Drosophila melanogaster: one gene and its partners. The protein of the gene in region 3 interacts with the protein of the main gene of each other region in a pairwise test. Each region holds a gene or a part of one and is shown on either strand. Other genes may lie near its edges.

Evidence for each region.
Region 1: the proteins of CG13005 (region 3) and CG14931 interact in a two-hybrid assay, tested with the Drosophila melanogaster proteins (one large-scale study listed by BioGRID).
Region 2: the proteins of CG13005 (region 3) and Rcc1 interact in a two-hybrid assay, tested with the Drosophila melanogaster proteins (one large-scale study listed by BioGRID).

Annotation. Positions count from the first base shown.
Region 1 is NT_033779.5:11,786,795-11,790,099, reverse strand, and holds CG14931 (uncharacterized protein), read right to left. Parts: upstream 1,767-3,305; 5' UTR 1,559-1,766; coding exon 1,510-1,558; intron 1,448-1,509; coding exon 1,323-1,447; intron 1,267-1,322; coding exon 769-1,266; 3' UTR 625-768; downstream 1-624. Other genes in the region: CG14932 (uncharacterized protein), read right to left, coding at 1-41, 95-96.
Region 2 is NT_037436.4:5,929,642-5,934,495, reverse strand, and holds Rcc1 (regulator of chromosome condensation 1), read left to right. Parts: upstream 1-1,722; 5' UTR 1,723-2,090; intron 2,091-2,178; 5' UTR 2,179-2,214; coding exon 2,215-2,878; intron 2,879-2,937; coding exon 2,938-3,917; 3' UTR 3,918-4,234; downstream 4,235-4,854. Other genes in the region: Egfrap (EGFR adaptor protein), read left to right, coding at 1-91, 162-442, 505-726. UniProt on the Drosophila melanogaster protein: Promotes the exchange of Ran-bound GDP by GTP. Involved in the regulation of onset of chromosome condensation in the S phase. Binds to chromatin.
Region 3 is NC_004354.4:16,802,020-16,806,395, reverse strand, and holds CG13005 (uncharacterized protein), read right to left. Parts: upstream 2,747-4,376; 5' UTR 2,637-2,746; coding exon 2,404-2,636; intron 2,326-2,403; coding exon 1,116-2,325; 3' UTR 642-1,115; downstream 1-641. Other genes in the region: ppk28 (pickpocket 28), read right to left, coding at 1-89; Rai1 (Rat1 interacting protein 1), read left to right, coding at 3,145-3,839, 3,927-4,359.

The DNA of each region.
Region 1 (3,305 bases), on a different chromosome or scaffold from region 3:
CATCATCATCGCCCACAATATGAGGAACCTTTGATTGGGACCTGCAATGAATAATCCATCAATATATTTAATGAACTGCTTTAATTTTAATTACATTTTTAACAAATTTTCAACGCCTAGCTCCTGGAAAATGACAATGTGAAAAGCCGTGCGGCCAGTGTGTCCACTCCAAGGAATGTTTAATAAGAACATCAGTGTTGATCAAAATACTGTTGAAAACTTACTGGAGCATATGTAATTAATATATAAAATTCAGTTAAAGCTCAAGTCACGTGTTCTTAACATTTAGTAAAAATAGAAATTTATACTAAAGGTTTTGGTAAATTTGAGCCTTAAAATTTTGGTTAAGTTTAGCCTTAAAATGGCAGTTAAACATAAAAAGTTTAAATTCCTATAAAAAGACGTACCAGTGTTGTACAACAGGCTTAATTTACAAACTTCCAAATACAAATGTAATTATACATATTTATGTAAAGTCAAGCCATCACAATTTAATTCCACCTTTGGAAATGTTTTTATATATTGGGTGTTCGTTTTTATTGAACTTGACATGCTTATGACTAAATAGTTAAGGAAACTGGAATTGGAATAAATACAGCTCGACCAAAAACACAAGCCACAATTATGCAATAAATTCAATCCTTTAATGTGACATATAGTTAACTTATTCGAGTACTCTTTCTTAGACATATGTGGGCTATAAACATTGTAAAATCTCTACTGCATTCGATTGGGAAACATAAACCACAAGACATGGGCGGAAATAGCCTATTCCTGGCTGATTTCATTGGCATCTGAGAAATCCGAGACGGCGACGCTGCTGGTGCTGATTAAATGTCGATCGGGCATTTCGCCGATGGAAGGAAGAGTGGTGCTATCGCTGGCGCTGGACAAAGATATCTCCTCCCAGCTGACGCCGGAGTCGCATTCGTTGCCCGGGGAAACGGGTGTGGCGTCGGCATTGTGCGGCTCATCCTCCGGTGCCTGGCCAATGCTGATAGCCGGCGTTGCTCTGGAACGTTTGCCAACTAGTTCGACGTTTTGATTGCGATCCGCAGCAATGCGCTTGCGATCGGGAATTTGATTGCCCGTGGTGGGACTCCAGTCCATGGCACGGTGCACCAAAGCCCGAAAAGTTATACGGATCGGCTCGCTCGGTGGACTGTCCATGTCTGAGGGATTTCTTCTGGACACTTGCGGCGACATGATCATCGTGGAGTTGTGCAAAGCACTGGGATGCGAAGTCAAAAAATCAGACTCGCTCTCCTGTCGACATTAATGAGAAGCTAATTACTATTTATTGTTTATTGTTAACTGAATACTTTTCCCACGTGCAGAGCCCTTTCTAGATCCTCATCCTGGGGACTGATACTAGCTGATTGCTGCACGACACTTGCTAATTCGGTCATTTCCTCAATATCCATGCCTTCCTCGTAAACGCCTGCGCCTGAGCAAATAGTTAGTTATATATGTATGTATGTTAAGGACGTCTAATTTAGAATATCTTACTTTTGAGGAAGTCAACTAATCTCCTGTTTGTTCGGCTGCGTAACTCCATTTTCAATGGGACAAAAACAACAACTTTAGTACTAATATTATGTGGTTACAATGCATTTGCTCTTGTTCTTGCTGCTAACGGAACTTTTCGCCAAACTGAAATCGTCTATAACGCCATATCGATAGTTAAGATGTGATCTCAAGTAATGGTCACACTTAGAGATGGTGCAACAAGTTTTCGAGTTGTATGTGAAAATATTAAAAACTATTTAAAAAAAAAAAAAAACGATAAGGCTCTGAAAATGTTGTGGTTATTATAAAGTGATATAAGTGATTAAGTTCTATAATGTAACTTGATAAAATTGTATATGTTTTCCTCGTAATTTAAGTCCAGTCTTTTAATTACCTCAACAAAAAGCCTTTAAACTTCGTTTGGTATTACACTTAAAAAACAATTTATGGGTAAAAAGCTGGGCTCCAAAATGGCGAAGTTTTAACACCAGCTCTGCGAAGTTGAAATGCATCGTGAAAAAAGTAAATACTTTGCGAACTTTTTGTGTGGTCAACCTGCTGACCAAAGTTGCAGCTTTCACTACCCACAACGCTGGCAATTGTTTTTCTAATTTAAGTAAAAAAATATGCGTCTCTTTGCATTTCGTTTGCATGCCCAGCCACCTGCGAGTTTTCTGGCCCCCTGAACACGCCCCTTTCACTTTTTACATACATACCTCGGACCCCATCGTTGCATCCCAAAACGAAAAGCGAGTTGAAATTCAACAAAATGTCAAAATGCCACTTGAAGTCAGTTTGCCATTTTCGCTGCCATGGAGCGCCTTTTCGACCCGAAAATTGTTCTTTCTGTGGGGCAGTTTTCAGCTCGACTTTGTCCCCATGGAAAGTCATAATACCCTGAATATTTTGAGATCATACACGGACTGGGGTGCTTCAGAAATATGCAGGCTTATGAAAACCTATTTAATAGCATTCGTAAATTTTTCGTGCCTTAATTTAGATAGGTTAAAAAAAGAATTTACGTTACATGTGTACCTTGTTAAGTTTTTTAAAAAACAAAAATATATAATTTATTATATTCCATATATTTACATATTTTATACAATTTATTTTGGTTTTTCATATTTTTCAAGGTATTTACATTATTTTCTTGTTATATTTTGGGCATAACTTTTTTCCTGATACTATTTTCTATATAACCAAATTATTTTGCTGGTTAAAACCAGCGACACCAAAAATAAAAGCACAAAAAATAGGAAAAGTTTCGATGTCGTCGCGTTGGCGAGCATTGCTTCTTTTGCATAGGAGTCGCCATTGAGTCCCAACTGCATTTGGCTTTACTTTCCCCTCGCCGTCGACCCACCCAAACCTCAGTTTTAGTGGCACGTCAAAGGCAAATAAATAAAAAAAAGAATGAAAAAAAAAAAAATTGAGAATAGAAGAAAAACCTGGACCAAAGCCGTTTGTGTTAGCCCGCATTTTGTACAGTTTTTGGCTGGCATTTAAAGTCCGTTCAATTACCGCGAAACACGTTTGACAGGGCAACAAAAAATAAAATAAAACGTCGACTTGAATTATTTGCGTTAGCTAAGGTAACGAGTTTAAGCGTTCTGAGTGGCGAAAATGTATTCAAATTTTATGCGTTCCTTTAACCCTTTAATGCCCCACCCCTTTTCGCAGGCAGTGAAGCAGCTAACACTTATTGGATTAGCAAATATGTGCCGCTGTCGATTTGCTTTTAGTGGCTCCGTTTTATGTTTTCATTATGGTGGGGGACTAAAGGATTTTCGCCATTA
Region 2 (4,854 bases), on a different chromosome or scaffold from region 3:
CAGTCACTGTCCGCACTGGAGAGTGCCACCCAGCGGCTGCAGGTGGAGCTGCCCGCCGCCAGCAAAAAGTATCTGAGAGAGACGTGCAGCGGTAGGTAGACTCTTATGTCACAGATATGAAATGGTTGGCTAAGGTTACCTTACTTCCGTGTAATTATCAGCCAACTCCAGTCCGAAATTGTTTCCCGGCCACAGTGCCCTGCGCCTGGATAATCTCAGCCTAGCCGAGCAGCAGGAGCTTAAGGGAGCCGCCTGGTTTCAAGCGGGCATTCCCAGGGAAATATCCCTGGAGGCCCTGTCCCGACAGAGTCCAGGTGCGTTTCTAGTGCGCCAGAGCAGCACAAAGCCGGGATGTTTCGCCCTCTCGCTGCGAGTGCCACCACCTTCACCACGAGTGGCCCACTATCTGATCCTGCGGACGCAAAGGGGCTACAAGATAAAGGTAAGTCCGAGCACATTATATATAATATTTATTATATATTATGATGGTATTTACCATTTTAGGGCTTCACCAAGGAGTTCAGTTCGCTGAAGGCGCTGATCACGCACCACTCGGTGATGCCGGAACTGTTGCCCGTGCCGCTGACCCTGCCACGCCCACCTAGTACCCGATCGCAACGATCGCAGGGCGCCTACGCAGGCGGAACCGGAAACGGGGGAGCGGACTTCGAGATGTATGGCTCGCTGAACGACTTTCGCAAAATGATGGCCGATTTGAATGTGTGACCGCTGGGCGCTCTTAATTAATTAAGTAATTATGTCACGTTGATTGAATTAAGCTGCCCAGCTTGTCACATTGTCCTGCGTCCTGTGTCCTCTGTCGCGACAGGATAACAATCTGTTTAATTTGCGTAATTGGCTGTGCTGACGACGGTTGACGTGGCTACCAATAAATAGGGTCCATGTCCATGTGTACTCGGGCCGGCAAAGGCCCACCTGTCCGACAGGTGCTGCAAAAAGTGCACAAACATTTTTTATTAAAATTGATAATAAAATCAGCTACGTGGGCGGCTGCGATGGCTGTGGTTTCGCAGGGGCGTGTTTGCATACACAAATATAGGGAATACGCTCAAATCATTTTTGCGAAACTGATTAAAAAATGGCAAAAACATGCAATATGTATACGCAAACAGACATCAAGTGATTATTATTTTTCGCGTTTTTATCAATTCTGCTCGTTTTGTACGGCTAGTGCTGAGTGGCAGATGCATCAGACAGACGTACTATACATATCTGAATGGGGGCAGTCGGATTAAATGTTAATGTTTGGGTAGGGAAATCGAGGGTCGGCTGCCGGGATTTGGAGTGCGGATGCGGAATGGGCAAAGTGGATTCTTTTTGTATTTGATGCACTCACTTTGCGGTGCAGTGGCTAGATAGACTTATATGGGAAGTAAATGAATAACCAATTATATTGTAACTCTATGTATTTTGTAATAAAGTTAATGGAAAACCTTTTCAAATAGTATTGTTTATTTTCTGATCTATAGCATGCAATATACATACAATCACGTTGAAAATGAAGCATTGGCTTAAAGGTAGAACATTTTATAATATTTAACAACAAATTTGTTTTGAAATAATGTGAGTGGGTAAGGAAAGTTTAAATTTCCCGCACATTATCGATAGCTCTTTCGATAGAATCGGTCGGCAATCGGCTCGCAAACTCGCTAGAGAACTGTTAACCAACTGTCATAGTTTGAGTTCACGCTACGCTCCATTCTAAAAGTTATCAATATCTCGAAATAAATAAACTGTGGGTTATAGCAGGCTTTGTTTTATTATTTGCAATTAGGAACAGTGCAAAGATAACAAAGATGTACTAACAATTGGTCAATAGGCGCAGAAGCGACCCTGAAATTGGAGTGTGACCTCGCTAATAGCCAGATGCGGCGGGGAATTCGCCAAGCCCGCAACACTGTACCCTGAAGGCCAGCTGCCGCCGCTTCCCGCGCATTTTCTTCGACCCAGGTAGGTCGCATTGGGATTCGCTTGCATTTGGTGTTTTCACTCGCCTCCAAACCGCCGTAGCAACACCATCTAGACAACGTGGAACTCCCGCTGAACCAGAGACCGGCATTATTTCCATTGTGAGTGTGAGCAGAACTAAGCTGCATCACCGGCGTCCCTAACCTTATATATATTTCTTACACACACACACAAACGCACTATTTCCAGTTTCGGTGACAAAAAATTGTGAAAATACAAGCTAAAATGCCGCGCAGAAAGGCCCTGACTAATAACAACAATGCCGGCGAAGCGGAGCAGCAGCCACCGAAGGCGAAGCGCGCCAGAATCGCTTTTCATCTGGAGCTGCCCAAGCGGAGGACCGTGCTCGGCAACGTGCTAGTCTGCGGCAACGGCGATGTGGGCCAACTTGGTCTCGGCGAGGACATACTGGAGCGCAAGCGTCTCAGCCCTGTGGCGGGCATCCCGGATGCCGTGGACATATCCGCCGGTGGCATGCACAACCTGGTGCTGACCAAGTCAGGGGACATTTACTCATTCGGTTGCAATGACGAAGGTGCTCTAGGCCGTGACACCAGCGAGGATGGCAGCGAGTCAAAGCCGGATCTTATCGATTTGCCCGGCAAGGCTCTGTGCATTTCGGCGGGAGACTCGCATTCCGCTTGTCTGCTGGAGGATGGCCGTGTCTTCGCTTGGGGCTCGTTCCGGGACTCTCATGGCAACATGGGCCTCACCATCGATGGTAACAAGCGTACGCCCATCGATCTGATGGAGGGCACTGTCTGTTGTAGCATCGCGTCCGGCGCCGATCATTTGGTCATCCTGACCACTGCCGGAAAGGTCTTTACCGTGGGCTGCGCTGAGCAGGGACAACTCGGCCGGCTGTCGGAGCGTTCCATCTCCGGAGAGGGTAAGTCTTGGCATTCAAATTTTCAACGAAATTCGTATTAAAAAAATGTTAACCCCCAGGTCGTCGTGGCAAACGCGACTTGCTGCGGCCCACCCAGCTCATCATCACGCGGGCCAAACCTTTTGAGGCCATCTGGGCCACCAACTACTGCACATTCATGCGCGAGTCACAGACACAGGTCATCTGGGCCACAGGGCTTAACAACTTCAAGCAGCTGGCCCACGAGACAAAGGGCAAGGAGTTCGCACTGACGCCCATCAAGACGGAACTCAAAGATATCCGACATATTGCCGGCGGTCAGCACCATACTGTCATCCTGACAACGGACCTTAAGTGTTCCGTAGTGGGTCGTCCGGAGTACGGTCGGCTTGGTCTGGGCGATGTCAAGGATGTTGTGGAGAAGCCAACGATTGTAAAGAAGCTGACCGAAAAGATTGTGTCCGTTGGATGTGGCGAAGTCTGTTCCTATGCCGTTACAATTGATGGCAAACTGTATTCCTGGGGCTCCGGTGTCAACAATCAACTAGGCGTTGGCGACGGCGATGATGAGCTCGAACCGATCGTGGTTGTCAGCAAGAACACGCAGGGGAAGCACATGCTGCTCGCATCTGGCGGTGGTCAGCACGCAATCTTTTTGGTCAAAGCGGACAAACAGGACCAGAAGGAGAATGTTCCAGTGAAGGTGTCTGGCAGCAGCAGCATCAGTAAAAAGGACAAGACCCCGCCGCAGGATAATGTCGACAAGGAAGCCGAGAATGTAGATAAGCAGGAGCAGAAGGAAAACTTGCCGGCGAAGGCGTCAACCAGCAGCAAAAAGAACAAGACGCCGCCGCAGGATAATGCCGACAAGGAAGCCGAGAATGTAGATAAGCAGGAGCAGAAGGAAAACTTGCCGGCGAAGGCGTCAACCAGCAGCAAAAAGATTAAGACGCCGCCGCAGGATGATGCCGCCGAGGAGGTCGAAGAGGAGTCTGCTCAGGAACCGACTCCCAAGAAGGCCAAGAAGCCTGCTGCCAAGCGGGGCGGTAAAAAGACATAAGATTGAGTATAAATACGCTGACTTTCCCACTTTGTTTTTGGTAACACTAAGTTACGAACCCGTACGCTTACCCTACGCTTAAGGAAGGCAATGAGTAGCCCAGATTCGTAAGATAGATCGGAAATTTTGCTTATTGTACGTTAAGATCTACGAACTGAATCCTGTTAAGTTCTTTTTATTTTGATAAATAGATGCCCGCTTATATCTTACAAGTCTGCCTAAAGACGAAAACTTCTTTATCAATCCAACTAAGTGTTTATTATATATATTCGTTCGCAATACGAAGCCGTAGTAAATTTGTATTTGAACGCAAAAGGAAACTAAATGAGATTTATTTACAAACTAATTAACTTGATTATATCATACACAAAGATATACATCCTACTCACAGTGTATTATAAATTCTTGGCTCAGGCGGGGCAAATGGGAGATTACCGGCAAAAAAGCTACAAAAGATTGGGAGATTGTCTCGTAAGCGCGAGACATCATTTACTCAATAATATCAGGAAACACGAAATTGTTACTCTTATGGTAGGTCTTAAGATTTATACAAAAATATGTATTTGCTTGGAGGGTGGTTCGATTTGCAATGAAGGGAAACATCTTAAAATTACCTTTAAAAGCAAAGGTGTCTAAACAATTCGCAGGACCCGGGAATTCATGAATGCAAGCCATTGAAGTATGTAAGAAGGCTTTAATATTTGTAGTTTTCATACCTGGCAAGGGTCAAAATGGATTATTACGTGTACAGAGGTGAACAAGTTGCATTTACTGCTGAACAAATCGAACCACCCTGGCATGCACAGTTGAGGGTTTTGGCTTCACTACGAGTAGTAACACGGCTGACGATTGCCTCTGCCTGAGTCGACTGTGGCTAGGGAGGTGGTTATGGTAGTGGTGGTGGAGTTTCCGCCGTAGTTGCTTCCCAGGTAGAAGC
Region 3 (4,376 bases):
ATGGTATTCTCATCGTCATCCGACTCGGAGTCCTTTTTGCACCCGGAGGAGCCACTTTGGCGCCGCCTGCTTTCCGTCAACGTCCTCATAATGCACTACGTCCGCACTTCTTTGAATCTCCGCTATTTATAGGTCACTTTCTGACTGCACTTTTAGGTGCAATTCCATGGCGGTCATCAGCTTTAATCATATTGAACCAAGGCAAACACGGTCGTCCATTTGCAGTGATAACTGCCAAATTGATTTTAGCCACCCCCTTGCCATCCTCCACGTATTTTGAAAATCAAGTGGATGGCCAGAAAATATGATTACATCGTGGCAAATAAACTTTACACCTGAAAGTAAACATAGATACACGCACGCTTTTCAATAAAGATATTCTAGATATTGTAATACACACAGGTATTGAAAGGGATTTATTTAAGCAGCAGCTTTGTACTAAAAGCAATAATAATTTTTCACAGAAATTTACCATTTAGCTGAACGCCATTAAAATTGCGATCAATTTAATTGACTTGCAGTAAACACAAATGAAAAGTATGAAAAGCTGCTAGAAACCACAAGCATATATACATTAAACTAAATTGGCCAGGATTTTTATTCACTTCCAAATGTTCCAGCAAATAATAACGCAACAATTTCAAAAATCAAGGAAGATAAATTCATTTAATAGGCATCTTTCGTTAGCCAGTTAAGTACTTCATAAATAATCTCCATCCGCATGCGGCATTTTTGCCACTCAACCATTTACATTTGCGTACTAATTGCATAGATTTTTGGCTGGAGGTTATATGAGGTTACTTTTCAAATTATACAATTTCAATATTAATATTCAGTAAAAATTCAAAATACAATACCAAAATGTATCTAAGAGATCCCTATTTCTATATTTACATACTCCATTAATACATTTTAATCTACTTAGAAAAGTTCGTTTCAATTTTCAGAGACTTTCTTCATGCAATATGCACGATAAATAAAATAAATGTTTTAAACTTTCATATTTTAGAACCTTTTCAGTGTTCAAGTTAAAAAGTAGTTGAAATACCTTTCACTCTATCATAGAATTCTTCATCTCCATTGCTAGCTAAGCGCTTTCTATACATTTGTCCCTTCTAATTCGGATTGAACTGGAAGAAGTCCACGTTGAGATCGAGAATAGCCTCTGTGTTGGGCGTTTCCTTCATGGTCAGGGCCTCCACGGCATTATCGCTGGCATGATCGTAGCCATGGTTCACAGTCGGAGGAGCAGTTGCCACTGGCGGCTGCATAAGATCGCTGACGTTTCTAAGCAGACTCTCCTCGGAAGGCGGATGAAGTTGACCGCCCGCCGATAGATTGAGACGCTGTGCAGCCTCGTCTGTGAGCGGATCGTCCAGCGACATGCTCAACTCTGCGTAGACCACCAGATTGCGGGCTCCTTCACTACCGCTGCCGGCAACCAAGGCCGCTCCCTCTGATTCCGGCATCGGTGCCAGCGGCGACTCCATGGCGGACATATCCAACGCATACTGACCCTCGGGTATGCCCAAAACTCGTGCAATTCGTGCATTTACAAAATGCAGTCCAGAGGTATTCCGTATAAGCCGTTGGCTGCGCAATTGCAGCTGCTCCACAAAGTCGTTAAGTTCGTTAAGAAAGAGATCAGAGCGCTGTTCCTCGCTGAGATGGGAATGCCGCTGCAGTTGGGCGGTCAGAAGGCCGAACAGCGACGGCGTGGAGGGAGGATGAACCGTTGATGGTACTGTAGCTACAGCTACAGGTGGTGTCTGCTCGCCCGGACGCGGCATGTGCTCTGGGAATTTGACAAAGTGACGCTGCAGACGGCGTCCCAAAAAGATCTTTCCACAGCCGGGACAAACGGCATTTTTGGGCACGGCTCGTTGGATGGTTGTCGTTGTGGTCGGTTCCTGGCTTATACTGACGCTGCTGCTGACACTCGTGCTTTTCGGCGCTGCCATGGGTGCCCGGTAGTCCTTGTCCCGCAAGTCGGCCACCAGCATCTCAAGCATGCGGGCAGAACTTGGCTCAACCGCTGAGCCACTGGTCACGGGAGCGGGCTGTGGCATCAAGCTGCGCACCTGGCGACCGGATCTAGTGCGATGGGTGTCGGGAGCAGGTTTTTGCTCCGCTAGTGTTGGTTTCTTCGCCACAGGAGCGGTGGCAACCGAACAGGCTCTTTTCGATGGTCTACCCACTTTGGCAGGCGGATTCTGGGCATTTTTCTCTATCGCCGGGCGAATCCCCATGACGGCGGGATCCGGACAGCGGTAAATCGTTAATTGTTGCGTAGCCGCATCTGTGCGAATCACCTGATGGCGCTTTCTGCACAGGAATAAAAGATCACGGAACGTGATCAGAGAAGGTGAATGAAAGCTCCAAAAAATAGGGATTACTACCCACCGATCGATGACTATGTGATCGTTTTTGGACAGCTTGTGCAGACTGCAGGCCAGCTGGCCCAGAGTATCCTTAACGCGTAGCAAATCGCCTCCTGCAGCCGGCAAATCTTCGTCGGGCACGGAATTCTCTGCAGGATTCTTGGCGGCCTCCTGTCGATCCTGTACACCACCGGTCTTATCCGGCAGCACCTGCAGCTCGGCCAGGACCGAGGGATCCTCCAGGAGATGCTTCATTGGCCAGCCACGTTTGGTGGTTACAAATAAACATAAAAACAAATCTATGAACAAAACCGAATCGGATTTCGTGTTATTTTGGTATTTAGTATATTCTTAGATTCCCATGACTGTGGTCACACAAATTGTTTGATTTAAGCTTGCAAATACCTCGTGGTGAATAGACGTGCTCAAACAGAACATAAAGCAAATCTAAGAGTCAAAATTTTTTCTCTTCATCGAGGTACTATCATCATTAGCGTTCACTTATTACATTAAAATTAATAAGCACATCATCATCCCATTTTTAATACAATTTAGCTTTCGATACTAATCGCCTACACTTGATTCTCACCACAACCATTTCCCAAGGTCTTAGCCCATTTAGTTGCGCAGTGGAGAAAGAAAATAATCGATGATTCCTCGAAAAACATCGATGTTTGCGATTTTTCTCCACCTCTAATAAATATTAGCGTTATTTTCCGGATAATTATAGTTTGAACTTGGAAAATCCGCGGAGGCGAAGGAAATGGCCGAGAACGCGGGCTTCATCAGTGTGCCCTGGGGGCAGCACAAGCTGGGCGCGATGTACAATACGCCGTTTCCCTCGATAAGCCGCCCGAAGTGCATCGGTGTGTGCAGCATAAACGCTAGCCGGGAATTTGTGGACGACGCCAGCTGCGCCAGCTACTTGGCTGGCCAACCGTGGCCACCGCTGCCGTTCGATCTTAACGGGGGTATAGAGGATGTGATCCGTAAGCCCGTCGAGAACGGCAAACGGGATCTGGAAATTATGCTGACCTACATTAAGCAACACCAGAAGGAGCTGCTCCGTCAGAGTAGCTCCGATGCGAGAAATCTACGCCTGGACAGCGACTTTGTAACACTGCGCGGTATTTTGCGGCAGATAATGTGCCTGCAGTATGATAATCGCTCATTCCGCGTCAAGGCGACGCTCCTGAACGGCAACGTCTACATGTGCAAGGAGGAAACCCCAGAGCAGCAGCTGGAGAACGCGAACATGAGCAGGGCACAGCGGGTCATGTGCTCCTGGGGCTTCAAGTTCGAGCAGTACCTGACCAGTGCCCAGGCGCAGGGAAAACCGGTGACCAATGTGCCGGTCAACGAGGCAGAGGAGTTCATGGGCGTGTACCGCACGAACCTGGCCGGGATTTTGATGCTATACGGCGCCGAACTGGACTGTGTGGACAGCAAGGAGCCAGTGTGAGTGGTCCAGGGTTTAAATACTTATGAATGATTAATGTTCCATCCATTCATTATTTGTGTATACACTTACACGAATCCCATTAGTGACTTCAAAGATTGCAGAGTGCTCGACTCATTGAAATTCGTAGAGCTAAAGACCAGCGTCTTCAATATGAACCCTCACCAAATTCGCACCTTCAAATCGTTCAAGTCTGCCAACTGGTGGAGTCAGTCATTCCTGGTGGGCATCACTACGCTCTACGTGGGACTCCGCGACACCAAGGGCATGCTGCAGAGGATCGATGAGATCGATGTGGCAACACTGGCCCGCAACAAACCGTGGAGTGCATCGGCAATGGCTTGGTACCTGGAACAGTTTCTGCGCAATCTTAAGAAGCTGCTGGTGAACATTAACGATCCGTTTGCGGTGGTCCAGGTGACTTTTTTAAATAAGCACGCCAGCTACGAAGTGCTGCGCGGTCCGGAACATCAAATCCTGCCCAACTGGTATCGAGATTTGCTCAAAACGCGCTCCTAAGGCAATGCATAACATTT